2 linked regions of the Diceros bicornis minor genome follow. The protein of the gene in region 1 interacts with the protein of each later gene in a pairwise test. Links are inferred from orthologs where the notes say so. Each region holds a gene or a part of one and is shown on either strand. Other genes may lie near its edges. The genes, in order: RUNDC3A and EIF3E.

The links.
Region 2: the proteins of RUNDC3A (region 1) and EIF3E interact in binary tests that used the Homo sapiens proteins (3 or more experiments, as listed by UniProt). The two-hybrid records come from large-scale screens. The link is inferred for Diceros bicornis minor from reciprocal best matches to the Homo sapiens genes RUNDC3A and EIF3E.

The regions. Positions count from the first base shown.
Region 1 is NC_080757.1:42,884,494-42,900,058, forward strand, and holds the start of RUNDC3A (RUN domain-containing protein 3A), read left to right. Parts: upstream 1-8,640; 5' UTR 8,641-8,691; coding exon 8,692-8,798; intron 8,799-12,554; coding exon 12,555-12,670; intron 12,671-13,069; coding exon 13,070-13,203; intron 13,204-13,381; coding exon 13,382-13,467; intron 13,468-14,379; coding exon 14,380-14,469; intron 14,470-14,568; coding exon 14,569-14,649; intron 14,650-14,816; coding exon 14,817-14,982; intron 14,983-15,089; coding exon 15,090-15,247; intron 15,248-15,565. UniProt on the Homo sapiens protein: May act as an effector of RAP2A in neuronal cells.
Region 2 is NC_080760.1:25,650,959-25,665,985, reverse strand, and holds the start of EIF3E (eukaryotic translation initiation factor 3 subunit E), read left to right. Parts: upstream 1-8,754; 5' UTR 8,755-8,771; coding exon 8,772-8,861; intron 8,862-13,757; coding exon 13,758-13,872; intron 13,873-15,027. UniProt on the Homo sapiens protein: Component of the eukaryotic translation initiation factor 3 (eIF-3) complex, which is required for several steps in the initiation of protein synthesis.

The sequences.
Region 1 (15,565 bases):
CTGCTATTTGCAAATGACCTAATTGTGTGGCAAGAAAATCCAAAAGAAGCTACAGATAAATTATTTCAATTTATAGAAATGTTTAATAAATTAGCAGAATCAGCTTAAAAATTAATTGCAACCCAATTAAAACAAATTATTAATTTAAATTTAAAACAAAAAATTAATTGCAACCCAATTAAAAAATGGTCAAACTCACATAAACATTTCTCCAAAGAGATACAAATGGCCAATAAACACATGAAAAAATACTCAGCATCATCAGTCATCAGGGAAAGGCAAATCAAGACCACAATGAGATACCACTTCACACCTACTAGGATGGCTATTATAGAAAATGGAAAATAGCATTGGTAAGGCTGTGGAGAAATTGGAACCCTCATACACTACTGGTGGGAATGTAAAATGGTTCACCCACTGTAGAAACAGTTTGGCTCTTCCTCAAAAAGTTAAACATAGAATTACCGTATGACACGGCAATTCAAAAGAATTGAAAACAAGGACTCAAACAGATGCTTGTACACAAATGTTCATAGCAGTATGATGAAGGGCGATGAAAACGTCTTGGAAATAGTGGTAATGGTTGCACAACATTGTGAATGTAATTAATGCCACTGAATTGTACACTTAAGAATGGTTAAAATGGCAAATTTTGTTACACATATTTTAACACAATAAAAAAAATCAATTGCTATTTATACTAGTAAGAATTAGAAAATAAAATTTTAAGAAGGTACCTTTTAAAATAGCACAAAACATATGAATAACCTAGGATAAATCTAACAAAATATGTATAAGACTTCTTCAGAGAAAATGATAAAATTTTATTGACAAATTTTAAAGACAAGAAAAATAAAAGAGAGCTATACTCTGTCCAAAGATCGGAAGACTCAGGATTATAAAGATGTCAGTTCTATCCAAATCAAGCTATAGATTCAATGCAATCACGATTCCAACATAAATCCTAGTAAGATGAGTTTGTTTTTGTTGTGCTTGTCGATCTAATTCTAAAATTATTATGGAAATGCAAGGGGCCAAGAAAAAACAAGATACTCCTGAAGAAGAGTAAGATAGGAAGACTTGCCCTACCAGTGATCAAGACTTACTATGAAGTTTTAATATTTAAGACATTATGATTAGATGCAAGGATAGACAAAGAGACCACTGGAGCAGAATATAGAGCCCAGAATTAGCCCCACACATGTGTGGATATTTGCTTTGAAAGAGAGGTCACTGCAAAGTAGTGGGCGAAGGACTTTAGAAAATAATAATAGGGGCCGGCCCCCTGGCGTAGCGGTTAAGTGTGCGTGCTCCACTGCCGGCAGCCCGGGTTCCCATCCAGGCACGAACCGTTGCACTGCTTGTCAGGCCACGCTGTGGCGGTGTCCCACATAGAGTGGAGGAAGATCGGCAGGATATTAGCTCAGGGCCAGTCTTCCTCAGCAAAAAGAGGAGGATTGGCATGGATGTTAGCTCAGGGCTGATCTTCCTCACTAAATAAATAAATAAATAAATAAATAAATAAATAAATAAATAAGTAAGTAAGTAAGTAAGTAAGTAAATAAATAAATAAATAAATAAATAAATAAAAAATGTTGCTGAAGCAAAATGAAATTGGACCTCCACCTCACACCATACACAAAACTTACTCCAGGTGAATTATACACTTTCAGGTAAAATAACACTATAAAATTCTTGTAATATAAGAAAATACATCATAAACTCAAAATATGGAAGATTTCTTAAACAAGAGACAAGAAACATCTATCATAAAGAAAAAAAATTTGATACATTTGTTTATATTAAAATTAAGAATTTGTATTCATGAAAAGACTCCACAAAGAGGAGCAAGCCACAAAACGTGAGAAACTATTTCTAGTATATATAAGTGACAGAATAGTCATATTTAGAATATATAAAGAACTACTACAGAGCAATTAAAAGATAATCCAAGAGAAAATGAGCAAAATACTTTGAACAGGAACTTCACAGCAGAGAAAACCCGAATGACCAATAAGCATGTGAAAAAATGTTCAATCTCATTAACAAGCATGGAAATGCCAACTAAAATAAAATGTATGACAATATTTAAAGTCAGGGAGAGAGGAAATGGAAGTGTACTTTTATAAGGTTCTAATCCTTTTTCTTTCACCAAATTAATAGTCATGTACTAAATGTTAGGGGCATGTTGATCTGGTCTAGGAAAGCTATCCCACCACCTGGCCCAGCAGCTAAAATGGGGCTACCACTTGGTTACGTTCTCCATCATCTATGATGATTCATCTGGTTTTTCCAAGGGCCAGACTGATGAGTTAAATGGAGATATAATGGGTCCCACCACTCCTGCATCCTTTGTGGGTGACTATAATTACTGTCATTCCACCTGGGATGGGATATTGCTTCTGATTTACTATCTTGGCAGAGGTAGGGGGGAGTTTCCACTGGGCCTCTCCTACTCTGAAGGCTCTTAATTCAGGAAACCAATGTGAGAGTTCTGCTGGCTGTTAAGTACATCTATTCCAATTATGGATTCAGGGACCAGGGAAATAACCACCAGGTGAGTCTGTGAACCTATTGGACCCACTATGGGATGGACTTTCCCAGGTCTCCTTTCATCACCTGGCCTCTGTAGCCCCATTCTAATACGTGTCATGACGGCATTTCGGTCCCCTGTTATCAGTGTCAGCTCCGATCCTGTATTCAAAAGCCTTAAAAGATCTGGGTATCCCCCTCTCCCAGTGTACAACCGCTCTGATAAATGGCTGTAAGTACATTGGGGGAGGAGTGAGATAATTACTATCATATAAGCTTGCTGTGGCATTGCAAGATTATTCCCGAAGGGAACTGGCCTCCCCTTCAACCAATGGGCTCTGCAGCTGAAAAATGGTTTAGGTCTGGAAATGGATGAGGGATTGTGAATTTCCTTTGCAGTGGTGTCAGCCTTCTGCTCACTCATTCTTGCTCCTTTTGGCTACATAAGCCAAGAAATACCCTCATTGGCTGTCCACCTACCTAGGGAGACCACAGTCTATTGACCATCACTGTAGATCCCAGCTTGCCATTTTGGTCTTTCTGTCCATTCTGGTCATTATGTCCACCTTGATTCTGATGAGTAGTGCCATCATTTGGCCTCTGTTCTGGACTCCTGTCATACCCATTAACTCTAGGAAGCCCAGTACCATAGCAGCTTCCGCTACTATCAACTCTGTTCCACAGAGGATGGCCACTACTGAGCTGCAAATGATGCCGGTGGCCCTCCAACAGCAAGCACATTTCTTATCACTTTATTGAAGGGAGTTTCTCTGGGCTCTCATGAGGAACACAGTAATCTGGAGGGTTCTCTGGTCTTATATAATAATAATTTCATTCTGGTAAGCCCACCCCTCTGAGCCTTTTGACTCATTCCCCAGTACTCTGCCAAGGAAGTTTCAACATCTCCACCTCCTTTGCTGTAATGCATAGTTTTTCCTAAACTTTCCTAAACGCCACTAAAGTGGCGTATTGCAACTGGCTTCAGATGTCCTTGCCAAGCCTTTAAAATGTTAAGTCCTTAGTCATGGTAGAGTATTCCAGCCATTATCCAGCCTTATAGTCCACCCTCTAACCCCAGTCTGTCACTCTCAAGATCCGTTCCCGAGCATGTTCTCCCAATTTCTGCTGGTACATGTTAGCAGGATCCTGGAGCTCTTTTGGTAAATAATACCTTTCTCACCATAGCTGGGATACTGCTTTCCCACATGGTCCATGATGAGACTTGACCATAGTTATTGGTCTAGAATCATGGAGGGGGTCAGGGTCACATCTTGAAGAGGGCAAGTATCATCTTGTGAGGCATCTGCCTCAGGTGAGGACTTTGCATGTTATCCAGGCAAGGAGAGTCTGCTCTCTTCCACCAAGGGGGAGAGGGCACTTCTGCTGGCCCAACGGGTTCAGGAAAATCTGGGGATTCCAGAACAGATGTTCCCATACCAGATTTCAGGGTCCTACTCTTTCTCTATCAGGGCCCTGACTTGCTGCGCTTTAAATATATCATCCTGCTACTCTCACAGTCAGATAATAGCACTGACTTTCAGCACAGTCTGCCCTGCACAGGCTACAGATGAGTTTCCTTAAACGCTGCCAATGAGGCCTCCTGGCTGTTACACTGTAGCTTGAGTTGAGAGTTGACTGATGTGAGTCTGTCATTTTTATCTTTTAGCATTTTGATGGCATTTAACAACAACTGACCAACTCCTCAATCCTTATAATTACTATTTCTCTCTTACATCTCAAATACTAGAGATCTGCACAGGCAGTGCATCCTTGTCTTCACCATGGTGAAAGTGTTAGTAACCATGATGGTGCAGCACTCCATTGGGTATCAGCACCCCACTTACCTCAGCAATGGAATCCTCATTGCCATCTGGATGGTGAGTGATCCAGTTCCAGAATCCTATCCTAGCGGTCTGCTTCCTAAGACCACTTCAGATACCAACTGTATTTTGGGGCGTTCCTCCTAGATGTAGAACCTGAATCAAAGATTCAAATGTAAGTATTTGAGAAATAATGCTAGGAATCACCAGCAAGCAAGTGGGAAAGCGACACAGGGAAGGAGAGGAGGCCAATAAAGGATGTGCTATAGAGCAAGTTAGGAGTGTGGAGAACTGGAACTTCATCCTGCTGGAGGTCTCAGGGACCCAGCAATAATGTGAGCCTCAGGACCACCCCACTTGAAGGATGAGGGAGCTGGGGTATTTATCCCCCCATCCCCATCAGTTATTGGCTGAGGGTTGCTATGGATGGGAATACAACTTCCCAGAACTTTCAGACTGCCCAGCGTTTGGATAGTGCAGGCTCCAGTGGCCAGAGAGAGCTCTCAGGGAAAGAGTTGCAGTTTCTGGCAGTTGGGACTTCATCCAGTGTACCCAAGAGCTCAAGGACTATGGGAGGGGCACTGACAGCATCTACTACACCACGGGAGGAATCCTTTCACCCGGAGATACAGCAATGGTTCCACTGAACTGGAAGTTACATTCTCACCTGGGCTCAGAGCAAACAAGGGAGTTAACTTCAGGGATGACTGATCCCAAATACCAAGGGGAAACTGGGTTGCAGCTGCACAATGAAGGCAGGGAGGACTAGGTCTGGAACCCACGGGATTCTCTGGTATGCCTCTTCCTTCTTCCATGGTAAAAATGGTAAAAATTAAAGAAAAATGATAGCAACCCAATTCTGAGCATTTAGATTCTTCAAGAATGAAGGTTTGGTCACCTGACCTGGTTAAAAATAAAACAAACCAATAAACCGAGGTGCTGACTAAGGGCAAAGTGAAATGAAATGAGTAATGGATGAAGAAGGTATAAATATCAACGTCTGACAAGTTATAGAAATAAAGATTGTAGAAGCTATGGGTATTTTCTTGCTTGCTTGTTTTGTATTATATATTCTGTATATTAATTAACTTCCCCCTCCTTTCTTTCCTTTATTACTTTATATAAGGACTGTTGCTGGTAGTGAACTTTATAATTTAGTCTTAGGTTAAAGAATCCTGGAGGAAATGTGGCTGAACTCGGAGAGATACCAGCATCACCCAGAGATGGATACTGTTACTGCAAAGACTTTGCATCTCCACTTTGGGGGAGGGCGCCTGAGCATCTTCATTCGTGCAAAGGACAATTGCATCCTGTTAGGCAAAGGCATGAAGTTGTTAAGTTGTTACTGTTCAAATATGCATAGAAAGGTGTGTGTAAATGCTGAACAGAAAAAGGAGTAGACTGTGCCAGTAAATACTTCTTGACTTTCTGCTCCAAATCCATTCTTCGTGTCTCTGCTCTCAGACGCTGGGCTGGGTGGGGCTGGGACTCTGCAAACTTGTTTCCCAGACTCCATTACTAACTGGCTTTCTGTTAGGTTCTGCTAAGAGGAGGCACTAGAGGGAGATGGAAGGCAAGAGGAAAGGAGAAGAGACTATCTCCCCATTTTTTTGGTTTTGTTCAGAGTCACCCTATCACTGGAAGTTGGCTCTAGCCTTCAGCTTCTTTCTGCATTCTGAGAACCAGCTTTGGAGATGGCTCCTCTGAGGAAAGAGCAGCAGCCTGCTGGTGGCTCTGCCCAAGTCTGAGCCCCAACTCTGCAGGGCCCCATCTCTGTGCCCCCAGGGTGTGGTAACCCCATCTCTTCCCTTTTGCTCCCTCACCCTTGGCTGCTTCCTTTAGTTACTAGTTCCATGCTGTCTCAGTGTTCTCGTTCTCTTTTTGCTCTTTTAGAATTCCAACTCCTGTGTAACCAATTCCCTATATTAAATCCCCTCTAATTGAAATACATAACGTGGTTTCTGCTTTTCTGACTATCCTGTCTGATTACCATCAATGGTAGAATAGATAAGTTGTGATAGAGACACACATGGGAATAGTATACAAGGAAAATGACTCTCCCTAACATAATCTTGAAAGAAGCAAATCACAACTGAATCATACAGTATGACTCCATTTCTACAAAGTCTAAACACTGGCAACATTAAACTATATTTTTTATTGATGGACATGTAGATGATAAAACTATAAAGAAGAGCAAGGAAAGACTATCACAAATATCAGGCTAGTGGTTATCTCTTAGGGGGATGGACGAAGATGAGATCTGGGAGAAGCATACAGGAGGTCCTGGGGTGTTCATAATATTCTATTTCTTGATCTTTGCGGTGATGACACAGGTGTTTGCTTTGTAAATATTCTTTAAATAGCACATATGTGTTCTATGTGCTCTTCTGTGCATATGATGTATCTCGCAATTGAAAAACAAAAGAATGGGGCCTGGCCAGTGGCACAAGCGGTTCAGTGCGGGTGCTCCGCTGCGATGGTCTGGGGTTTGGCGATTCGGATCCTGGGCATGCACCAACTCACTGCTTGTCAAGTCATGCTGTGGCGGCATCCCATATAAAATAGAGGAAGATGGGCACGGATGATAGCTCTGGGCCAATCTTCCTCAGCAAAAAGAGGAGGATTGGCATCAGATGTTTGCTCAGGGCTGATCTTCCTCACACACACACACAAAAGAGCATCATGATTGCTACTGGCTATGAGTCTGGAGGCAGGAGGATGACAAGAGGGGCTTCTACAGGTGAGGCAAGAGGGAAAGGGAAAGGGCAGAGGAGGGACTGAAAAAATCAAGTCTGAGGTCCCAGAGGCCAAGAAGTGAAGCTGAGGCTGAGTGAGCATGAGATCTGTGCTAGGAGTCAGGACCTTCTCCACAGCACCCAGGGAATCAGACCAGGGCTGGGAACTTCTATGAGTCTTTCATCTCCTCCTCCTCTGTTTGTGCTAACAGAGGGTCCCTGCCTGCTGGTCACATTCAGACGTGGGTGCATTGACCATCCTAGCAGAGTATTGACCATACTAACAGAGTAGAGTAAATCCAGTAGGTGGGCAGAGTCAGTGAATAGATATGAACTGAGCCCTGGGATGGGCATTCCTGAGGTCAGATGGAGAAATCAAGTGGAGCCCCTTTAATCAACACAGAAAGGCTTTCTGTAGGAGCTGGGGATTTCAGTGGGTGAAAGAGAACAGGTTGAACAGAAGAACGGAGCAGGTGGGAGCTGGAATGTGAGAGAGCAACTGGGAGGCAAAAGGCAGCCGAAAAGCCAGACTGTGCCTCCATTTCCCCAACTTCCTGTAAAAGATGTAACCAACTTTGCAGGGCCCTCCTGGCCCTGCAGAGGGTTGATGGCACTATGCAGCAATGCTGGCAGCCAAGGGGTTAACCCTTAGGCGGCTGCCCGTGGGCAGTGAGGTAGGACTGAGGGGAAGCAGTGCCTCGGCTCCATCCCTTCCAGTTTCGTGGGCACCAGCTCTACTGCTGGGAACCACCACAGCGCCCAGGCCCTGAGCTGCCAGTCTCTTCTCCACTCACTGTCCTGAGTGGTTCCAGGGGCTGGGCTCCTCCGGCTTATCCTAGATTCCCATCCCCCACCCCAGGAGGCGTTGACTCGCCGGCTGGTGCAGACAAATACGCAGTGTCTCTGACTGCTCTTTGGCCTCCTAGGTCAGCAGCGTAAGGCCACCTGTGCTCTCCGGATGCACACCTGGCCTTGGCCTCGCGTCCTGGCCATAAAATGGGTGGGGGGCGGGGCTGGAATGAGGGTATTGGAGGTGAGGACCCCATTCCCCAGGCAGCAGGGGGAGAAATCTGAGAGACACCACCGATCACAGGTCAGAAACAAGGGAGGAGAGGCGTCAGAGCTCAGAGACGCGAGGCGAGGGGTCCGGGCCTTGAGTGTGGGGTGGACAGACCAGATGCCCTCTCCCTCCTTCCAATCGCTGCCTCTTCCAGGGACCCCCTCCGCCCTCCCTGGGGCCCCGGTCCGCTCCCCTCCCCCCTAAATCCTGCCCCCTCTGCGGATTGGTCCCCGGCCTGCCTGGGGGCGGGGCCCGAGGGCCCCGACGTCACGGGTCGAGGGGGGCGGGCGGCTGGGGGAGGGGGGCGACGGGCCCCGGCTCAGCACCTCGGAGAGCTCCCTCCCCGGCCTTGTTTTGCTCAGGTACCGCCGCCGGGGGAGGGAGCCAGGGGGCCGGGCATCGGGCGCAGGGGCAGGGGGATGGCCGTGGAGGGATCGAGGGACCCCGGCGGTCAGAGGGCTCAGCCGTGATCCGGCGGGGGGCCGGGGCGCCGGGCGTGGTGGGGGGCAGCTGGCGGAGGCAGCAGTGGCCGCACATCTGAATGGAAGCGAGCTTTGTCCAGACCACCATGGCTCTGGGGCTGTCCTCCAAGAAAGCGTCTTCCCGCAATGTGGCCGTGGAGCGTCGGAACCTGATCACCGTGTGCAGGTGGGCGCCGCTGGCGGGCGGGGGTGGGGCGGTCGGAGAGGCGTCGGGGAGGGCTGCGGAAACCTGGACTGAGGGAGGATGCACAGCAACCGCGGAGACAAGGGAGGAAGCACAGGGTTAAGAGGAGCACGTCCACTGTCCCTCTCAGGCCCAGACAGGGAGGGGGTTTGGAGGTCTGGTCTCTATCCTTCTAGGCCAAGCCAGGCCTATGCCCAGCCTGGGGCCTGGGGGGTGAGGGGTGTTTAATTGGCACTGCAGCTTCCTGTGAGAACCAGGAAGTGACATTGTGCGTGAGGGGGAAGGGGCGGCGATGGCTGGCTCCCTTGCTGGGGGCGGGGTGGGCAGAGGCAGAGTGGGCAGGAGAGAACTGATGGAGTAAGGAGATGAACGCCCTCCAAGCATACCCTCACTCCCAGTCCTGTCAGCCTGGCCTCTCCGGGGTGGGGCTTTCCTGGGAGATTTTCCGACGCTCAAATACTGGAGCAGAGATGGTGTCCTCCTCCATCTCTGGGCATGCAGCCTGTGGCAGAGTCAACTGGGGCATGTGGACAAAGCCCTTTAATCCATCCAGTGAAGGGTGAGGGGCGCTTCCCTGCCGTGGGAAGGACTGAGGGCCTGATCACAGAAGCCTGGGTCTCCTGGGCTCAAGGGGAGGAGACTGGGAGGGCAGGGCCATTGGTCCCTGAGGGTGGGGCTGTCGCAGTGTTGGGAAGATTCACCCACTTTTCTTGGGGCCCAGGAAGTGAACTTTCCCACTTTAGCCCTGCAGTGACTCACCCTCTCTGCCCTGCCCTAAGCCAGGAATGGCCAGTGGCTCAGACACTCTCCTTCAGCCCCCACCTGCACTCATCTCTCCCTCTAGGATCCCCATGCCAGCTGCCTTCTCCACCTGCAACCTCCCCACCCCCCATGCCACCTCTGAGGGCAGGGTGTTCCCAGTGCAGGGCTCAGCTGTCTTCCCTTGCCAGCCCCACCTGCCTGCACACAGGCCCTGGCCCTGCTCCTTCCCCCAGGAATCAGTGCCCACCTGATGCCCTGGCTCCTGGCTCCTCTAGCTCCTCCCAGGTTCCTGGGCACACACCCAACCATACTGCGTCTGTCGCACACCATTATATCCCTACTGCCCAGCACAGTGCTGAGCACATCAGATCTCTGTAAAATGCCTGGAATGTTATAGAAGACATGAATACAGCAATGGCCCAGCCCAAAGTGCAGGCCACTCCCTCCACCCTCACCCCCTCAAACACTGCCAGTGTGGTATAAAACAAAGGTTTCTGCCTTTGGGGCCAGATGGTCCTAGGTTCAAACTCTTACTTCATTAGTTATTAGCTGTGCAACCTTGGGGAAGTCTCCTAACCACTCTGGGCCTTGGGTGCCCTATTATCCCCATTGTAGATGGGGTATGTAACAGCCACACCAAGGAATGGTAATGACATAATCCACCTAGGAGCCTAGCCCAGTGCCTGGTACATGAAAATAGCCCCATCCTGATGACACCCTTCCTGTCCTTCTCCTCTCTCTTGACCTCCTAGGTTCCGCTTCTTTCTCTTGCCTCCCAGGACAGCTGGGCCTCTTGAGTGTGTGGGGAAGGGGGATCTCTTCTTGGTCTAGGCTGGAGAAGCAGAGGTTCTGGTGGATTGGAAGTGAGCTTAGAACTGGGGTGTGAGGATAAGAGCTTTGGCGGGGGGAAGGAGGTGTGGCAATGGCTCAGAAACCCCTCAGGCCCCTGCGCCTCGTCACTGTCACGTGGTTTGCCTCCAGCTCCCAGAACAGTTCCCTTTAGCAGGCTGAGGGCTCCACGGGGCCCTCGCCTCCCTGTCTCCATGGTAACCTGCAGCAGCCACTGTACCTCCTAACAGGGAGCACGCCATGGGGCTCCCAGGGGCGATGACCAGCTCTGCAGCATCCCTGAGGACAGATGGCAGACGGCTGCAATCTTGATACCAGCCCCAGGCCCCCACTGAGGTCTGACCCAGATGACCAGAAGAAATCATGGGGGTGGGGGGCAGGCTTCATACTGAAGCCCAGATAATGCCCTAAACACAGGCTCCTTCTGGCAGGGCTGACCTTCCCATTAATGCCCAGCTCCTCACCACCGCTGCCCAATGACCTGTACACACTCACCTTCTCCCAGTCCTTCCTGGGATCTGAACCAAAATTTAATGAGGCAGATACTATTATTCCTGTTTGCACCTGGGAAATGGGCCTCAGAGAGATTAAATGACTTGTTCAAGGCCACACAGGTATCACAAGGAAACAGGATTTGAGTCCACCAGGCTGCCTCCCCCTAGGGTAACCCCAACACTGATCTAGATCTGATCTCAGGCCAGACCAACTCTAAGCCCAAAGGAAAGGGAGGGAGCTCCGTGGGCTCAGCTGTGGCATTGGCCTGAGAGCCTCAGAGGCCAGTGCTCAAGGGCTGGATCCTGCAGAGTGGAGGACAGAGGGCGGAAGTGGCAGGGGCTGCTCGCGGCCTTGGTAATCGTGACAGCCACCAGGAGGCCACAAGATGTAGCAGAAAGAGCAACAACTTTGGAATCAAACGTACCTACTTGACTCCTCACAAGCTGTGTTACTCTGAACAGATGAGTCAACCTCTTGGACCCTCAGTTACTTTATCTGTAAGATGGGGATGATGGCGATAATAAGAGGACCTACCACCCGGGGCTGTTGTGAGATGCAGTAGATAATACACGCAAAGTATTGTGCTCGGCACATTACAGGGCTTGATAAACTTAGGGAAAAAAGGATAGTTCCAAGCAGCCCCCACATCCCTGGACACCCAACCCTTGCTCTGCCACTCACAATAGGGCAATATTGGGGTGTTGGGAGCCGTGTCCTCATCCCTGCCTCACCCTACTGCAGCGATGACAGGTGCAGATTGCAGGGGAGAGATTGCAGAGGGAGCCAAGGCTTCGAGAAGGACTGGAGAGAGGGACAGGGGCTGCTGGGCTCCAGTCCCTCAGCCTCATTGGCTTCCCTTGGCTGCCTTCCTCTCTGAGAAGCCAGGTGTCTGGGCCCCCAAGCCCCCTTCCAGAGATCTGCTGCCAGTGTCCCCTCCCACCGTGTGTGTCAGCCCCACACCCTGCACCTCCCCCCGCCCAGCTCTGCACCGCCTGGTTCTGGGCAGCTGCTGTGTGGGCGGCTGAGCTAGGAAGGAAAAGGGGGAAGGGGGCATCTGTGTGCTGAGAGCCCACCTGGCCACCCATGCATGCCCACGCTCCATGTGCCAACTCACATGCCCTGGCACAGGTGACCCCCCCATCCCAAAAGGGACTGAAAGTTGTCCCAGCAATAGCAGAAGACAGCTCAAGGCAGGAGCCCAAACTGGCTTCTAACTCCTACCTGACCCTCAGCCCACACACAGAGAAAATGCAACTCCGAGGGTGGGCACAGAGGAAGGGGCTCTGGGACAGGCCCCTGGCTCTAAGTGCTTCATCTTTTTACCTACTGTTTTATCCCCTCTCATACCGTGTTCCTGAAGCTTCCTTTCTCTGGGTGTCACCTCTCCTGTCACCCACTTTATCAATCAGTCTCCCACTTGCCACCCTATCACTCCCATGTCACAGCACCTCCATGGTCACTATGTTCTCATCTGTCTCCCACCCTCTCTCCCTCTGCCTCCCCACCATATCCATGCTCTTCATGACCTCCTCTCTGCCCTTCACTCCCTCTCTTTGCCTGATGCCCTTCCTCTACCACCATCACTCTGTCTTCTTGCCTGATACCCTACTGCCCCTTCTCACCCCTCCCCAGGTTCTCTGTGAAAACACTGTTGGAGAAGTACACAGCGGAGCCCATCGATGACTCATCCGAGGAGTTTGTAAATTTTGCAGCCATCTTAGAGCAGATCCTCAGCCACCGTTTCAAAGGTGGGTCCAGGTTCCTGTCCCCTGTGGCCCAGCCCCACCAACTCCCAGCCTTTAGTTTCCAGCAACCTCACTCTGATGTGGTTCTGAACCCCATCATTGACCCTGACCCCAATTCTGGGCCATGCGCAGAAGCTGATGCACAGAGCTGGGAAGAGGGGAAAAGGTCTTCTGGGCACAACATAGTGGGTGCCCACACACCCCATCAATGGGCATGTAGTGTTGTGCTGGCGTGCCCTTGGTGTACATGCATATGTGTGTACATGCATTTGGGGTAGGCACTGTGTGCGTGCATGGCTGAATATACTTACGCATGTGTGTGCCCCGTTACACGGACCCTCTCCAAACTCCCTGGTCTTTCTGAGCCCCCTCCCTGCCCTGGCTCAGCCTGTGCCCCAGCAGGTCCGGTGAGCTGGTTCAGCTCAGACGGGCAGCGGGGCTTCTGGGACTATATCCGGCTGGCCTGCAGCAAAGTGCCCAACAACTGCGTGAGCAGCATCGAGAACATGGAGAACATCAGCACAGCCCGAGCCAAGGTGAGGGGCCTGCGACAGGCAGGGCCAGGGCAGCTGCTCCCTGCTCTGGATACTGCATGCTCCTTGGTCCTCACCCCTGCCCACGGGCACTGGGGAGAAGGGCCACAGGAGGTCCAGACCCAATGGCGCACACGTGGGTCCCTTCGGGGCAGCAAATAAAGGTGAGTGTACTTTCCAGGGCCGTGCATGGATCCGGGTGGCACTGATGGAGAAGCGCATGTCGGAATACATCACCACAGCTCTGCGGGACACCCGGACCACCAGGTCAGTCCCTCTCAATTAGCTTGGACCACAGGTGCCAGTGAGAACGTTCTTAGCCTAAACACACTTCATCCTTAAGTTCCTGCAGTACCTGGACTACAACTCCCAGCATGCACTGCTAGTTTCCCTCCCCAGCCTGACCTACAGTCCTGGAACATACCTTTAGCATCGCCACCATCTCTTCCAAGTCAAATTCATTATCCCCCATCACTCCCCAGAACCGGTCTCATACACACCTCTGGACAAGCCTCAACTATGTATCATTTTACCGGTTGGTCTTGTTCCATGACCTACAACACACAGCCCTACCTGCTCCCCAAACAATGGCAGCCGTCTGTACTTGCCACCCATGGAATATAGAGTCCCAGCGTGTCGAGCTTCGGTTCCTGCACCGAGGGTTTGCAGAGAGATTGGGTCCTGGGGGCAGGTCACAGGCAGGATGTGCCAGTGGGGGACGGTGAGTTTGAAGCTGAGTACTATAGGGGGCATTGTGCCCCCCACCAGTGTTCACACCCAACCTGATGTTTTACTGCATTGACCTCTGTCCTCACATTGCAGAGTTCACATCAACATATTTTTGAGCACCTGCTGTATGCTAAGCACTAATGATTAGAACTTGTTTCCTGATTTTAAGAATCTGGGTGACCCAGTACTTGGTGGGGAAGCGCTAGCTGAGAGGATGAAGGAGAGTCTATTCTCAGGGGACACCCGTTCTAATAGGTGGGAGATACAGACGCTATCCCCAGTGAGCCCCAGTCGGAGGGGGAGACAAGATCCACAGCTGAGGGGTGAGCAGGAAGGGGACACCTCCTTTCTCTAGGAAAAGTTTGTAGCAAGCCAACAAGAGAAGTCCCAGCAGGTGGGGGCTCCCCGGGAGGAGGCTGCACCATCAGTCGTCCCCCCCACCTCCCACAGGCGTTTCTATGACTCGGGAGCCATCATGCTGCGGGAGGAAGCCACGGTCCTCACGGGGATGCTGATCGGACTGAGCGCCATAGACTTCAGGTGGGGGCAGCGGTGGCGGTTGGGGGGCTGTTTCTCCGCGAATGTCCACACTCCCATTCCCTCATATCCGCCCTAACCCTGTGGTTCGTCTGCCCCCAGCTTCTGCCTAAAGGGCGAAGTGCTGGACGGGAAGACCCCCGTGGTCATCGACTACACGCCCTACCTAAAGTTCACCCAGAGGTCAGCGGCCCATTGTTGCGGTGGAGCGGACAGCCCACCTCCCCGCGGGCGGGGATGGCGGGAGGGAGGCAGGCTGGGAGGGCCTCCTGGTCCCCCTGCCCAAGCGGGCTGGCGTGGGACCCGCGGGCGGGGCAGGGCCGGCGGTGCCCACTGCTCCCTCCCCCAAGCTACGACTACCTGACGGACGAGGAGGAGCGGCACAGCGCCGAGAGCAGCACGAGCGAGGACAACTCGCCCGAGCACCCGTACCTGCCGCTCGTCACCGACGAGGACAGCTGGTACAGCAAGTGGCACAAGATGGAACAGAAGTTCCGCATCGTCTACGCGCAGAAGGTGCGCGGGGCGCGGCGGCGGTGCGAGGCGCTGGGCAGGGCGGGCACGGGCCGGGCGGCCGCTGGGACCCCTCCTCCCGCCGCCCGGGCTGAGCCGGCGCCCCGCAGGGCTACCTGGAGGAGCTGGTGCGTCTGCGCGAGTCGCAGCTGAAGGACCTTGAGGCGGAGAACCGGCGGCTGCAGCTGCAGCTGGAAGAGGCGGCGGCGCAGAACCAGCGCGAGAAGCGGGAGCTGGAAGGCGTGATCCTGGAGCTGCAGGAGCAGCTGTGAGCGCCACCGCCGCCCTGACCCTTGACCCCGGCCACCCCGACCACATCATCCCAGGGAACCCCCACCACCGCCCCCATTGACTCTTAACATCACCTTTCCTAATACCAGCATTGAACGCAGCCAACCGCCAGCATTAAACCACCCATCCCATCACCTCCACCCCATGGTCCCCCCAGTGATCTTCTAACGTTATCCTCAGCATAAGATCCAGTGACCCCCGCAAAACCGGCTCCCCACTTCACCCTCAGTCACCCGACATCAGCTAGAATGGCCATCAACATTACCCAGGGACCCCAACATTACTTGCAAGGACC
Region 2 (15,027 bases), on another chromosome or scaffold:
AATTGTGGAATATTATAGAGCAATGAAAATGAACAAACTGTACATTCAAGCAACATGGATGAATCCTTCAAATATAAGGTTGAATATAAAACACAAGTCACAAAGTGATGCATGCATTGTGATTTCATTTATGTGAAGTTCAGAAACAAGCAAAACTAAATCATGTTGTTTAGGGATGCACATATATGTAATATAAAGAAGAACAGAGAAATATTTACTATATGAAAGCTAAAGTATGAGTTTGGCCTGGTAAGGGGGAAGGAAGATAGGGTGGAGTATCCAGACATATGAACTAGCATAACTGGGTAATAGGAAGGAGTTGGCTGAATTTGAGGAATTTAAAGAAAGCCAGTGAGCAAAAGGAAGAACAGAAACTGAAGGATTTTCAGACTTCATGCTAAGAACAATGAAAAGCCACAGATTGGTTTTAAACAGAACACAATATGATCAGGTTTTCATTTTCAAAGAGTAATTTTGTCCATCAAATGTAAAACAGATTAGACAAAGTCAAGAGTGGATACAAGAATATGGTTAGAAATCTGTTTTAAATGGCTTCAGGTGAGAGATGATATGGTTTCAACTGGTGCAGTGACAGCGGATAAGAAAAGAAAAAGATGGATCTGAGAGAGGCTTAGAAGGTGGAATCAATAAGACGATGATTGGGGAGTTTAGAAAACAGAATGCGTTAGCATGACTCCTATTTTCTGATATGATCAACAAGGTGTCATTGATCACTAGTGGAGAGCTGGATCTTGATTTTGGATTCCTGGGAGATATGCAAGTGCAGATGTTACCCAAGCAGATGAATAAATGATCTGGAACTCAGAAGAAGTGCCTGAGCTAAAGAGAGAAATTTGATATTTTTTTCTTTTAATGTACCATGGCAGTAAATGAAATAGGGCAGGTAAAACGACTCAGAAAGGATAGGTAGAAGAAGTAGTGAAAATGTTAATATTATCTATGTGCAATGCACTGTACTTGATGCAGGGGCACAAAGGTGAGTAAGACATGGTCCTTAGTTTACTGCCAAGTGGAGGAGACGCTTTATCAGACCATATATATCAAGAAGTACAAGATGCTGTGGAATCCCAGAGGAGGGCAGTTAGGTCTGGAAAGTCAAATAAGAATTAGCCAGCTTGAAAGGTGGGAAAGACATGTGAAGAAGCCATAAGACGCACAAAAGCACTGAGGCTTGAAACAATGCCATATATGTGTGTGCTCACAAGCAGTCCACTAGTATTCATGCACAGGGTTTGAAGGTGACACAACAGGAGGTCAGACAAAAGAGGGAGAAAGGTCCCAGTTATAGAGGGTCTTGCATGCCCTGCCAAGGAGTTCAGGATTTATTCAGAGGGGATAGGGGAATGATATGGTCATATCTGCGTGTTAGAGAGTTTACTTAGACCAAGTATGAAGGGTGAGGGTCAAAGCAGAAGACAGCAGAACTGGTTAGAAAGAAATAAGCTGCTACATGTAAAGGGAGAGGTGATAGGGATAAACAAGGGCAATACATTTGATAAATATTAGGACCGCTCATTAATTCAAAGAGCCGTGTGGAAAGTCATATCTGCTTACTCCTGGGTCTGACCCAGCTTTAAATGCAGTTGATGGAAATTCGAGAGAGAGATGGAGGAAGCCCAGGTTTTAAATTTCCGAATTCCTACAAAACAAAAAAAAGGTAACTGGATTAAAAATAATGTTACTTAGTGTTATTTAGAAATATCTAAGAGAGCTATGAATCAGGAGACATGAGCATTCGAAAAATGTGTCCACTACAGTAGTAGCGATAGGTATTCATTAGAGTATTCCAAAATATGGATGAATTTCTTTCAAGAACACGTAGGTCTGGATATGAAAGCTCTATGCACATTTATTCATTTCTAGAGCATTTATCAAGTACTTGTTATATGTCAGGTACTAAGACAGGAATTGAGACTATAAAGACAGATATTCATAGATATCAAGATGTTTATACTTATACTCAAGATGTTTACAGTCTAACAGGAGGAAACAAACATGTAAAAAAAAAAGTGAGCTACAATGCTATAGGCTCTGAGATAAAAGTATGCTGTGAGAAGAGAGGGGCAGAAGGAGAAAGTGATTACTTCAGATATGCTCTGCTAATGGGAAACACAATAGTGAAGATGATGCTTCATCTGAGTCTTAAAAAGTGAAAAGGTGGTCAACAGGGTTGGAGGGGGCAGAAGGACATTTTAGAAGAAGCTGCTGGAGAGCAAGTAAAAAAATAATAAACTTGGCTTGTTTGAGCAAAGCTTAGTGTGGAAGGAGTGTAGGGTTCTGGAGAGATCAAGTGCTAAAGAACTTTATACTGTGTGCTAAAAAGTTTTGACTTTATACTATATGACATAGGAAGTGCAAAGTGTATTAGTTTTCTAGGGCTGCCATAACAAAGTACCATAGATTGGGTGGCTTAAACAACAGAAAATTATTTTCTTACAATTCTGGAGGCTAGAAGTCCAAGATCAAGGTGTTGGCAGGGTTGATTCTTCGAAGGCCTCTCTCCTTGGCTTGTGGATGGCCATCTTCACCCTGCATCTTCACATGGTCTTTCCTCTGTACATGTCTACGTCCTAAATCTGCTCCTCTTATAAGGACACCAGTCATATTGGATTAGAGCTCACCTAACGACCTCAGTTTAACCTAATTACCTCTTTAAAAACCCTATCTCCAGATACAGTTACATTCTGAGGTACTGGGGATTAGGACTTTAACATACGAATTTGGTGGGGGCCACAATTCAGCCTATAACAGGATTAGATGTGCATTCTGATCACCTAGACAGCAGGGTGGAGGGCACATTAGAGGGGTGCAGGACCAGTGACAGGGAGACCCTTTGGAAGACTAATGCAGTAATCTGTGTGAGAGATGATCAGAGCCTGAATTAGAAAGATAGGGGAGGGTATGGCGAAGGGAGACGTTAAAAGAGTCACCAGGTTGGGCCTGGCCCCATGGTCAAGTGGTTAAAGTTCCACGCACTCTGCTTAGGTGGCCAGGGTTCCCAGGTTCGGATCCCAGGTGTGGACCTGCTCCACTCACCAGCCATGCTGTGGCGGTGTCCCACGTACAAAGTGGAGGAAGACTGGCACAGATGTTAGCTCAGGGCTAATCTTCCTCAAGCAGAAAAATAAATAAATAAATAAATAAATAAATAAATAAATAAATAAATAAATAAATAAAGAGGAAGATTGGCAGCGGATGTTAGCTCCGGGAGAATCTTCCTCAAAAAAAAAGTCACCAGGAAAATTAGCCTGCAGGATAGAATTCAAACTCCTCAGCACAGTCCACAGCGCCCTTGACAATTCAGCCCTGACCCCTCAATGCAGACTCATGTCCCGCCACTCGACATCACACATGCTCCCCCTGGACGCCCAGGAGCACTCTGTGCATAGACACTCACCTTGTGCTATGATTATTTTACATTTTATATGCTTGCCACCCCCACTAAACCGTAAGCTCCTTGCGGGCTGGGATTGGTTTCCTTTCTTTGTTTCCCCAGAGGCTGACAGGGTGATCAGCAAATAGAAAACATTCAATCAATATTTGATGAATGTACGAGAATCAAAGGCTTCACCTGATACCACCTACATACTACCAGGTGAGGCCTTGCCTGTCCGTCCTCTGTAATATCTCTTTTTAACTGAAATACTAGGAAAAGTCTAATGCAAGAAAGTCAGATTTTCCATATTTGGGGCAAAATCTCTCTTATAAAAAGAAATAAGATATTTTCACAAACCAGCAAGGAAAATTCCAGGGGAAAAGCCAGGCAAATCAGCAGAGTTTCCAATCTGTCACCACTTTAATCCATCTTGTAAATCACTTCCAGTTTAATTTTAAAGGACAAAACACCACTGTCTTCATGTCTTTTTTTATTTAAGAACTTAATGAGTGGCTCCCATTGCCTATCTGATCAAATCCAAGTTTCCCAGTCTGGTTTTGAAGACCTTCCACAGCCTGGCTGCATTTCACCTACCCAATCCACTGTCCACACAACTGTCAGAATTACCTTCCTGACACACAGATAGGATTATTTACTCTCATGCTCAAAAATACTTTAAGGATCCTCATGACCTCAGATAAATTTCAAATTCCTCACTTAAGCTTTCTACTATTTGGCCCTGGTCTTCCTTTTCTGGCATATATCCCCCTAGAGTCTTCAATCTTTGGCTAACTTCCCAAGTTGTCTTTCTTAAATATTTCTTACATTTTCCTGTTTTTGTGTCTCTACAGTGTTTGACTTGTTCCTGAACCACCTGCAGTGCTCTCTTCCACATCTGTTGTAAAAGTCAGCAGTCTCAAATCCAATCCACCAGGCTTTCTCCATTTTCTCTACCCTCATTGAGAATCAATCTCTGTTTGGGGCCAGGCTGATTGGGACTCCATGCTCTTTCTATATTCCCTATAGCTTCTCATAACACTCTATCCTTTCAATACAGTTATTTATATAAGTATTCTATCATGTCTATCAGCATTCACACATCTTTTAAAACACTCTCCCTAGACCTCACATCTATCACTCCATTTCACTGCTTCCCTTTCTAGTAAAATTCCTCAAAAGATCTGTATATATATGTTGTTTCATTTTGTCTCCTCTCATCTTCTGAGCTCACACCAGACAGATTTTTATCCCCCATTCACTGAACCTGCTCTTATGAAGGTCATTGATAACCTGCATATTTTCCAAAGCCAAAGGGCAATACTCAGTCCTATCATCTTGAACTAACAGCACCATTTGACATGGTTCATTACTCCTTGCTGCTTTGACTACTCTCCTCCTTTGACGCCTGGGACACCACTTTCTTTTGCTCCTCTTCTCCCTCCACTTAGTGGCCAGGCCTTCTCCACCTTCTTTACTTGATCTGAATTGTCTCAACCTCTACAAGTTGAAGCGTCTAAGATTTAGCCCTCCTCATCTCTTTTCCAGACACACTCACACTCTCATTCAGTCCCATTATTTCAAATTTCATCAATACGTTGACAAGATCTAGTTTTCTATTTTCAGCTCTTAACTTTCTCCTGAATTTCAGATTCTTATGTACCACTGTCTAATCAGTATCTCCACACAGGAGATCAGTCTATGTCTAACAGGCATCCCAAACATAATACGTCCAAAACTAAACTCTTGATTTCTCTCCTCTCTACAACATGCATCTATCGCACCATTCCTCTTCTTACTAAAAAAGACCTCTCACTTCTTCTAGACCTTAGAGTCATCTTTGACCTTTCTCTTTCTCATCCAATCCATTAGCAAATTTTGCTAGCTCTGCATTCAAAATATATTCAGAATTTCACTACTGTCCACAACTCTTTCAATGCTACCACTCTCATCTAAGCCACCATCATCTCTTCCTTGAATTATTTCAATAGTCTCTTGACTGGTCTCTCTGTGTATATGCTCGTCTGCCCAACCTCTCCCAAACCTTCAAAGTGGTCTTTTTAAAGCATATCTCTGATTATGTGACTTCTTGCTCAAAATCCTCCAATAGCTTCCTACCTCATTCAGAATACAACCCCAAGTCCTTACTGTGGCCTACAAAGCATTGTCAACTGGTCCACCACTCCCTCTCTGAACTTATCTTCTGCCATACTTCGTCTTGCTCCATCAGCTCTTGAATTTCTAGTTTTCTTGCTATTCCTCAAGCACACCAAGCACACTTTTGCTTCAGCATCTTTATACTTAATATTCCTTCACCTAGAATTTTCTTCCTCTAGAGAGCCACAAAACTGCCTCACCTCTTTCAGGTCTCTTTTCAAATTCTACCTCGTCAGAGAGGCCTTCCCTGATCACTTCATATAAATTAGCAACCTTTTCCCATCATTCTCTAACTTTTGCCTTGCATATTGTTCTTCATAGCATTTATCACCACCTGACAAAGTATATATTTGTTAATACGCTTTATCTGTCTCCTTCCACTTGAATATAAGCTTCTTTAGATAAGGTAGTTTGTTTTCTTTACTGCTGTATTCCCAGGACCTAGAAAAGTGCTTAGCACAGTGTAAGTATTCAATTCATATTGTATAAATGAATGAATAATTGTCACCTACTTGAAAGCTTCTGTGACCAGGGACTAGCTCTTATTGATCCTATATTCCCATTACACCTAGCTTAGTACTTGGCATATGATAAAAGTTTAAAATGTTGGACAAATTGAATTGCATCTTATTTTTCTCTGCTTCTCAGAAATGCTCTCTGTTCCTCTTTGGCAAGTTTCCATACTGCCACCTGCTTCCTTCCTTCCTCTGCAGCCCATTTCTGCTGGAAGCCTCAGTTCTTGCTATTTGTCTTTTTAACTTCCCCTTTTCCTGTCTATATTCTATTACAACTTTAGTCTCTGGGCTTCCAGGAAACTTCAAATTACGACTATCATTTCTCAACTCTTAGCGGCTACAAAGACTATCCCCCACAATTTAGCAGCCTATACTATCATGTATTCTCTGATTCATGGGAATTCAGCCTTGCTTTCCCAAAAATACTGTAAATGGCACGATGGCAGAGATCATATCATACTCACAAATCCTTGAAAACATCCAGTACAAGGTCACATGCCTGGTAAGTGATTAACAACTATATCAACTGATCCAGAATAGTATCTCTATTTGCATATTAACATCACCACTGGGATATCTAATAGGAATCTTATTCTGTCTGAACCACAGTTCCTGATTTTAGCACCCATACATATTTCTTGGCCATTCTCCCCTCAGAAGTCACCAGTAGGTATCCAGTTTCTTAAGTTCAAAGTCTAGGAATCATTTTTTAAAACAAACTTTTACTCTGAGATAGTATTCACATGCAGATGTAAGAAATAATACAGGCAGATTCCATATACCCTTTACCCAGTTTCCCCCAGTGGTAACATTCTGCAAAGTTACAGTACAGGTTGGCAGTTCCTCAAGGGATTAAATACAGAGTTACCATGCAGCCCAGTAATTCCGCCTCTGGGTATACACACAAGAGAAATGAAAACATGTCCACATAAAAATGTGTACATGAAAGTTTACAGCAGTATTATTCATAGTAGCCAAAAGGTAGAAACAACCCAAATGTCCATCAACAGATGAATGGGTAAACAATTTGTGGTATATCCATATGATGAAATATTATTCCGCCATAAAAAGAAATGAAGTTCTGATACATGCTACAACTTGGATAAACCTGAAAACATTATGCAAAGTGAAAAAAGGCCACATATTATATGATTCCATTCATATGAAAGTTGTGAATAGGGAAATCTATAGAGACAGAAAGTCGATTAGTGGTTGCTTAGGACTGGCGTAGAGTGAGCAAGTGGAGGAAATGAAGATGAGGTCAGAGAGGTAATGAGTCCAGATGATCTAGGACTTTTTAGGCCATTATAAGACTTACATCTTTTACTCTGAGTGAGATAACAAGGCTTGGAGGGTTTTGAGCATAATTTGACTTTTAAAAGTCACTCTGACTGCTGTATGGAGAATAAACCATTGAAGGAAAAGAGGGGGAAGCAAGGTGATTAGTGAAGAGGCTATTCTAAAAATCAAAGCAAGAGATGGTGGTTTGGACTAGGGATTAACTTTGGAGGTGGTGTGAACTGATTGGATCAGGATATGTTTCAAAGGTCAGAACCAAAGGATTTGTTGGTGGATTCAACGTAGAGTGTAAGAGAAAGAGAAAAGTCAGGGATGACTCCAAGGTTTTGGGCCTGAGCAACTGGACAGATGGAGTTGGCATTCACAGAGGTGGAGAAGAGTATGAAAGGAGCAGGTTTTGAACAGCCACTTTGGGGAGTTTGGCTGTGGACATGTTAACGTTGAGATGTTGGACATATGTGAATCTGCAGTTAACTGATAGCCTGTGTTGCGGCTATAATCTGGGAGTTGTCAATGTGTAGATTGCATTTAAAGCCATTAGGCTGAATGATATCACTTAGGGCATTGGCCTAGATAGAGAAGAGGTCCAAGAACAGAAGGAACTATTAAAGAAGACTTCAGAGCACTTCGAATAAGATCCCCATTCCTTACCTTAATCATGACCTGGCCCTTCTCAACGTCTTTAACCTCACTTTCCAATCACACAGGATACTCACTTTTTGAAACATAAGTCTTTTCCTGTCTCATGGACTTTGACTTTGCTGTGCCTTCCACCAGGCATTAAAAAACTTGGTTTTTACCCAGGCTTTAATTGGTCACCTCCTTCTCTTACTACAATTCTCAGCTAAATTTTTAGTTACCCTGAGTTTTCTCTAACCACCCTAATCAAAAAAGCCCAATCCGACCACTCCACCACGTTATGGCTCTTAGTATAATCCGAAATTATTTCACTTGTTTTCTGTCTAGAAACCCATCCCACCTTAATTTAACAAACGCTTACAAAACGATTATTGTATGCCAAATAAAAGCTCATATTTCTCCCTGTATGTAACTTCCTGGAGAGCAGGAGCCTTATTATCTTGTCCTCTGCCGCATCTCAATGCAATCGACATTGCCGCAGCAATCAATTCTGAGTTTTCAATATTTATTAACGGAATGCATAGCACGACACTCATCAACTTGCAAACAGAAGAAAGTGTGCCGACCTCTTCGCCGCGCCCTAGAATTGCTCAGAAGAACGGAAAAGCCGCGCGCATGCGCCATTGTTCTCAGAGCGCTCCAGGCTGAACCCCGCCCCTTTCTCATGGCTAGTTTAACCACTGCACATGCGCAGTACGGGCCCTGTCCGTCTGTCGATTCTACCAATAAAGTTTTAGTGAGAACAAACTACTCTTTTCCTTGGCAAGATGGCGGAGTACGACTTGACTACTCGCATCGCGCACTTTTTGGATCGGCATCTAGTCTTTCCGTTGCTTGAGTTTCTCTCCGTAAAGGAGGTGAGGAGGGCTTTGAGCGCGAGGAAGGCGTGGGAGCGCGTGAGATGCGGGGCAAGGCCGAAAGGCGGTGGCGGTAACCCTAGGCCTGACACACGTGTGAGGCAGCCGCGAGTTTGATCCCAGGTCGGACCAAACTGTAAGGACCTACTGGTAGTTTACTGTCGTCCCGGTTGATTAACACCGCGGAATTCGGCCGGAACAGGGTGAAGGGACAGTATGAAACTTAGGAGAGAAAGAGGTCTTCTTGAGGTGCCAGGACCCGAGGTACTTCCGCGTCTTGTCCTCTGGGAAGTTGACGACTCGCAGGCTTCGCTGTAGTAACGCTTGAGCCTTACTTCAGGCCGGCTTCTAAAAGCAAATTCGAGTGTGAGAGATTTTGGGTTTTATTTCGGGTACTGTGGGCAGGCTGTACTTGGCTTTGTGCTTTTGCTTGCCGGATCGTTTGGATAATTTTCTTACACTTGAATGAAATATTTAACACGTTCATTTCCATAAGGTTGTGAGTTGTTTTCATTGAGTTTTCTTTAGCCACTTCCTAGAAACGTAGCATATTTTGTCGGATGGAGACAAGGACCTCCAAAAAAACACCTCGACAATTTTTAAGCTAAAAGTTTTCCAGTGTATACATATACACATTTCGAGCGATTTGAATTGATTGTGAACGTTCGTTTAGCTACTCAAGTATCTTGAATAAGTATGTGGTTCTGATACCTCATTTTAAAACGTGTCAGTCCTAAAAGTTTTGAAATACTGGGCTTAGTTATACCTTGAGTTTATTGGGAAATGAATGCATTTTAATTAAAGTAATATTACTATGATGAAGGGATTAAGATATCGGCCAGAAAAATGAATGAATACAAGTGTATTTATACTTGGGAGACACATTACAAATTAAAAGTGTAGAAATTAAGTGAAGTTAAGCGTAGACTTAGAACACAAGTCTGCTTAGAGAACTCTAGATTTGAGGAATAGATTTTGTGTGTCCCAGCAACAATAAAACGAAAAAGCCATACAAATAAGCGTTAAATTGTTCTGATAACTTTTTAAGTCTTCCTGGAAGTTATGGTTCATTAGACAAGTATAATCCTCAAATTCATACGAAGCTTTTCTAAAAATTTAGACAACTCTAAACTTGTTGTTAGGGAGTAGCTAAGTTCATTTTCAGTAATCGTTCAAGAATATCTTGCCATATAAAGCTTTATCTTGAAAGGATGTGTTTTTGCCTTGATTTTTCTTTGTATAGGATGTACTTACATGTATATTTTAGAGCTTGAATAAAACAGTCCAGTCTGCATTCTGTTTCCTTTTCTGGATAAGTGAGGATAATTCACCAAAGATCAAGGAATAAAAAAATACCATATTTAGAAATTCTTTGCCACCTACTTGTAGAAATGCTTCTGAACTAGCCAAACTTCATATTTTTGTATTTTGTTCTTTACACTTTCGTTTTTCAAGGCAGACAGACGAAAGGGAGGAATATGTAAGTGTAAATTAGTTTTTCATGGGACAGGACCAAAACTATGAAAGGCAGCTGAGAAGCAGTGGAAAATAACTGTGCCCAATACCTGCCTCCTTAGAGAGAATGTGATAAGATGGCTGTGATATGCCAAGACGAAGACAGATACTAGACTATTTATTTAAAAACTGCTAAGTATAGGGCTACCATGGAATTGTGAGAAATCCAAGATAAAACGCAGACATCTCACCACTAAAAAACTGACCTATTCTTTACAGGAGATAAAAGATTATTATTATAAGGCAGGTAGTAAATGTCAGAGAAGTACTGGCAGAGTGCTGTCAGAATTGAGGGAGATTCTTCATTCAGTGGGCAAAAAATTTTGAGGAGGAGAGGCTTTAAGTTGAGTTGATAGTCAGTGACCATGATACATGAGACTAACAATTTGTTATATTTGTAGTATATTGCAGAATATAAGTTCTATGAGAGCAGGAACTTTGTTCTCTGCTGTGTTCTCAGCACAGAAAATAGAGTCTGGCATAAAGGCTTTTAATGATTTAGTGAGATTGGAAATCATAGATTTATAGAGCTTACGATGCTCATTCTCAGTGAGAAGGCTTGTAGATAAATGTCATTTAGAGATTAATGAGAAGGGTTGCTGATCAGCAGAGAAAAGCACATTTGTGATTGAATAACATTATTGCCTAGTTTTGAGATATTTTATATTGGTCCTAAAACAGAACGTAGGAAAAAGATAACTTTTTTCCAGAGCTAGAGATCGATATTGAATTGTATTTGGTTGAAGAAAATGGATGGAATCAATGCAACTGCTAAAGAGAAAATCTTTGAATAGCTAAAAATGATATCCAAACTAATGTAGAAAGTGACAACCAAAAAGGGTGATATAAAAATGAGAGCAGAGGGTATGGTGAGGCTGAGGAAGCACTTTAATGGTAATGGTGGAAGAGGTGATGAATTTAAGTTGAAAATCTTAGAGATGAAGTACTGGATGAAAGTTGTACTTTGTGGGATAAAGGAATTTTAAGGCTTGAGTTTTTAAAGAATCATCAGTATAGATGTTGGATTTGTGGAGGATGACAGCAGGAAGGGATGTCAAAAGACCTCTTAAAAAGTAGGAGCTGTTTGCAAGAGGTTGATAGACCAGGGGTTGGCAAACTATATAGCTTGTGAACCAAATATAGCCCTCTCTCCCTGTTTTGTGTGGTCTGTATGCTAAAAATAATTTTTAACAGATGAACATTTGGAAACATTTTCAATTAGAGAACACTAACTTTGTACCCCAGTTAAGTGAAATATTTCCTGCCCAAAAAGAATTCCATTCTTTTCATTAGTAATCTATATTACAAAAAATTTTACTCCATTATAATCTTTATATTCTTTATTTAAAAAAGAAAAGAAATTGTGGAAATTTGTTTCTTTCTTATGGTACTTATATATAGTATCCTTGATTTTTGCTCTTTGGCTCACAAAGCCTAAAATATTTACTATCTGCCTTTTATAGAATAAGTGTGCCTATGAGGCAGAATTTAGAGAGGGTGTTATAAGCAGATGTAGATTTAAGAAGAGGCCAATAAAGTGTAATGGCAGAGGAGCAATGCTTTGTATTTACACTTGGGAGGCACATTACAAATTAAAAGCTATTAATGGGGTGCTGAGGGGACGTGGCATGCTAGGAAAAGGATGTTTTCACCTAAAGTTAGGGTTTCTGTAGGGCAACTGAAAGAAAACTTCAATTCTTTTAAGTAAGCTTTTTATCAAGTATAACATTCATGCGGAAAAGTGCATAAGTATAAATGCTTTTTTCAGAGTGAACACACTGTGTGACCACCATCCAGATCAATAAGTAAAACGTTACAAACATTCTAAAAACCTTCCTTCAGACCCCTCTTAGTCATTATTCGCTCTTCCCAAAGGTAAGCACTAGATGATAGATTAGTTTTTAATTTTATATAAAAGAAATTAATCATTCACCATCATATACTGCTTTGTATGACTTCTTTCATTCAACATTGAGTCATCCAAGTTGTTAGGATAGCAGTAGTTCATTGATTTTCAACGCTGAATGTTAAACCATTGTATAGGACAGTTTATCCATTCTAATATTGATAGACTTGGCTATTATGAATAGTGCTGCTATGACCATTCTTGGAAATTTTCTTTGAATATATATACTCATTTCTCTTGAGTACCTAGGAACAGAATTGCTGGGTCAAAAAGTATGTTTAGCTTTCGGAGATAAAAACAGTTTCCCAAAGTGGTTTGACTTCTGCCAGCAGAGTTAAGTGTTCAGTTACTCTACATCTATACCAACACTAGTATTGTCCATTTTTTTAGTTTTTGGTGTGGTTTTCGTTTGCATTTCCTTTGTGATTAATGAAGTTAAGAACCTTTTTGGGTGTTTATTGGCCATTTGGTTATACTACTCTTGTGAAGTGCCTATTAAAATCGTTTGGCCACTTTCAATTGGATTCTCTCTCTTTTCTTACTATTTTATAGGAGTTCTTTTTGTAGTTTGGAACGTCAGTTTTGATCTCATGGCTGTACCATTTGACCACCTTCAGCTTTTCTTTTCATGGGTGGTGAAATGTGGAATCTCCTGCATTTTTCTTTCCTTGGCAAAATTAAGTACAAAAATTTTTTCTTTTGCTGAAGCTTTATCTTGATGACTGATAAAATTTTTTTATTTTGATTATGATCTCTCCCTGAATATTATTGTGTAGAATCCTTACATATTGCTCAATACACTTAACTTCATGTTTATGTGAGTTTGCTTATGTATCTATATGGTACCTCTACTATGGGTTAAATTATATTTCTTGAACTCCCTGCAAAACAAAAACCTGATATGACGTGGTTATCTTACAGAATAGGTGCTAGTTTTGTTTCAGGGGTGTAGATGGGGAAGTATTATAAAAAATCATTAACTAGTGAAAAAATACGTGGGGGTAAAGGAGAGGCCACTTTGAGAAGAGATGAGTAGGCATCGTGTAGATGTAAGAGATACTAAGAAGGTAAAAAATTTGAGTTGATTCCTGATTACCTGGATGTGGAGAAGATACAAGTGTAGTTGCTTACCAGTGGAGTTGGTATGGTTGTGTGTTTATGCACAGCCTTGTTCTAGAAAGGATAAAAGATGGCTTATAGGGACACATAAAAAATGATATAAATCAGGGGTAGATAAGAATGGCTTTGAAGTGTATAATTGCCTTCATTTTTCAATTATTAGGTAAACAAAATATTCTTCTGTCTCTGTAGGCTGATTGCTTGCCTTCTTACAAGAGGGTAAATTAATAGTATATAAGATTATATTAAAAAACAGTATTTCAGAAAGTATATTTCCAGGTAGACTAATCTTACTATTAATCAGTTTATTTGGGGGAACTTCAATATATTTATTAGAAAGTAATTTTCTCTTGCAGATATATAATGAAAAAGAATTATTACAAGGGAAATTGGATCTTCTTAGTGATACCAACATGGTAGACTTTGCTATGGATGTATACAAAAACCTTTATTCTGATGATATTCCTCATGGTAAGTTTTGTCATTAGAACTGAAGCTTGTCTTGTTAACCAAGTTTCTGTGTATTAAAATTTTGTGATTTATAACAGAGCTTTAGTCAGAAGTCTTAATTATTTGAATGATTACATTCATGCGCCACATAACAATGTCTCAGTCAATGACAGACTGAGTATATGACGTTGGTCTCTTAAGATTAGTATTATATAGCCTAGGTGGTAGGCTATACCGTCTAGATTTGTGTAAGTACACTCTCTGATGTTCATACAATGATGAAATTGCCTAACGACGCATTTCTCAGAGCATATCCCGGTCGTTAAGTGACACTTGACTGTAAAAAGTTCTTTGGATGAAAGGTAATATGAAGGTTATAGGTCTTCTAAAGTATATTGTTTTCTCATGGCAAAAGGTGTGAAACCTCTTTAAAACATGGCCATCAAGTACCTTCAGTTCATAGTATGTATGATCAAAGTTGTGCTTATGAATCAGATTGTTTCCTTAGAATTATTCGAGAATGTTGCAGGGTTTGGTTTGCTAACTTTTTCAGTTAGCATCTTGTGTGCCTTAGAGATATCTTTTTCATCTTGAAGCATCTAGGTATAGCCACGATTCTCAAAATTATGGTTCCCAACACCGTCATCATCAGTTCACCTGGGAGAGCTTGTTAGAACTACAAATTCTCCAGCCATACCCTAGATCTGCTTAATGGGAAACTATTGGCTGAGGCCCAGCATTCAAATTGGAGAACTATTGTGGTACAGTGTTTTCCAAATCCTTGTTTTCTATGATAGTAGATGTTCCTTTAAAAAAAAGTGGTCCCATAAGTTTGGAAAATTCTAGTATATCATTTCTTTTATGCATAGAGTATTTTTAAAGATTCTAAGAACTTTTTGAGTAGAGAGATACAATTTACTTTGTTTAAATTGACATTTCTCAGTATTTAGTTACAGATCCCCTCTGTGTTTGAGAAACACTGTACTAGTATATACTTTCTAATGTATAATGCAGAATTTATTACATTGAACATAATCACCTTTTTGATTTATATTACAGTTCCCTACAGTAACAGTAGCTCTTTAAATTTTAGTTTGTGAGGAAAAAGTGAACTATTTCTCAGTGAAACTTTTAAAGCATGCTAGCAGGGTAGGTTATATGCAAGTTTTCCCTATA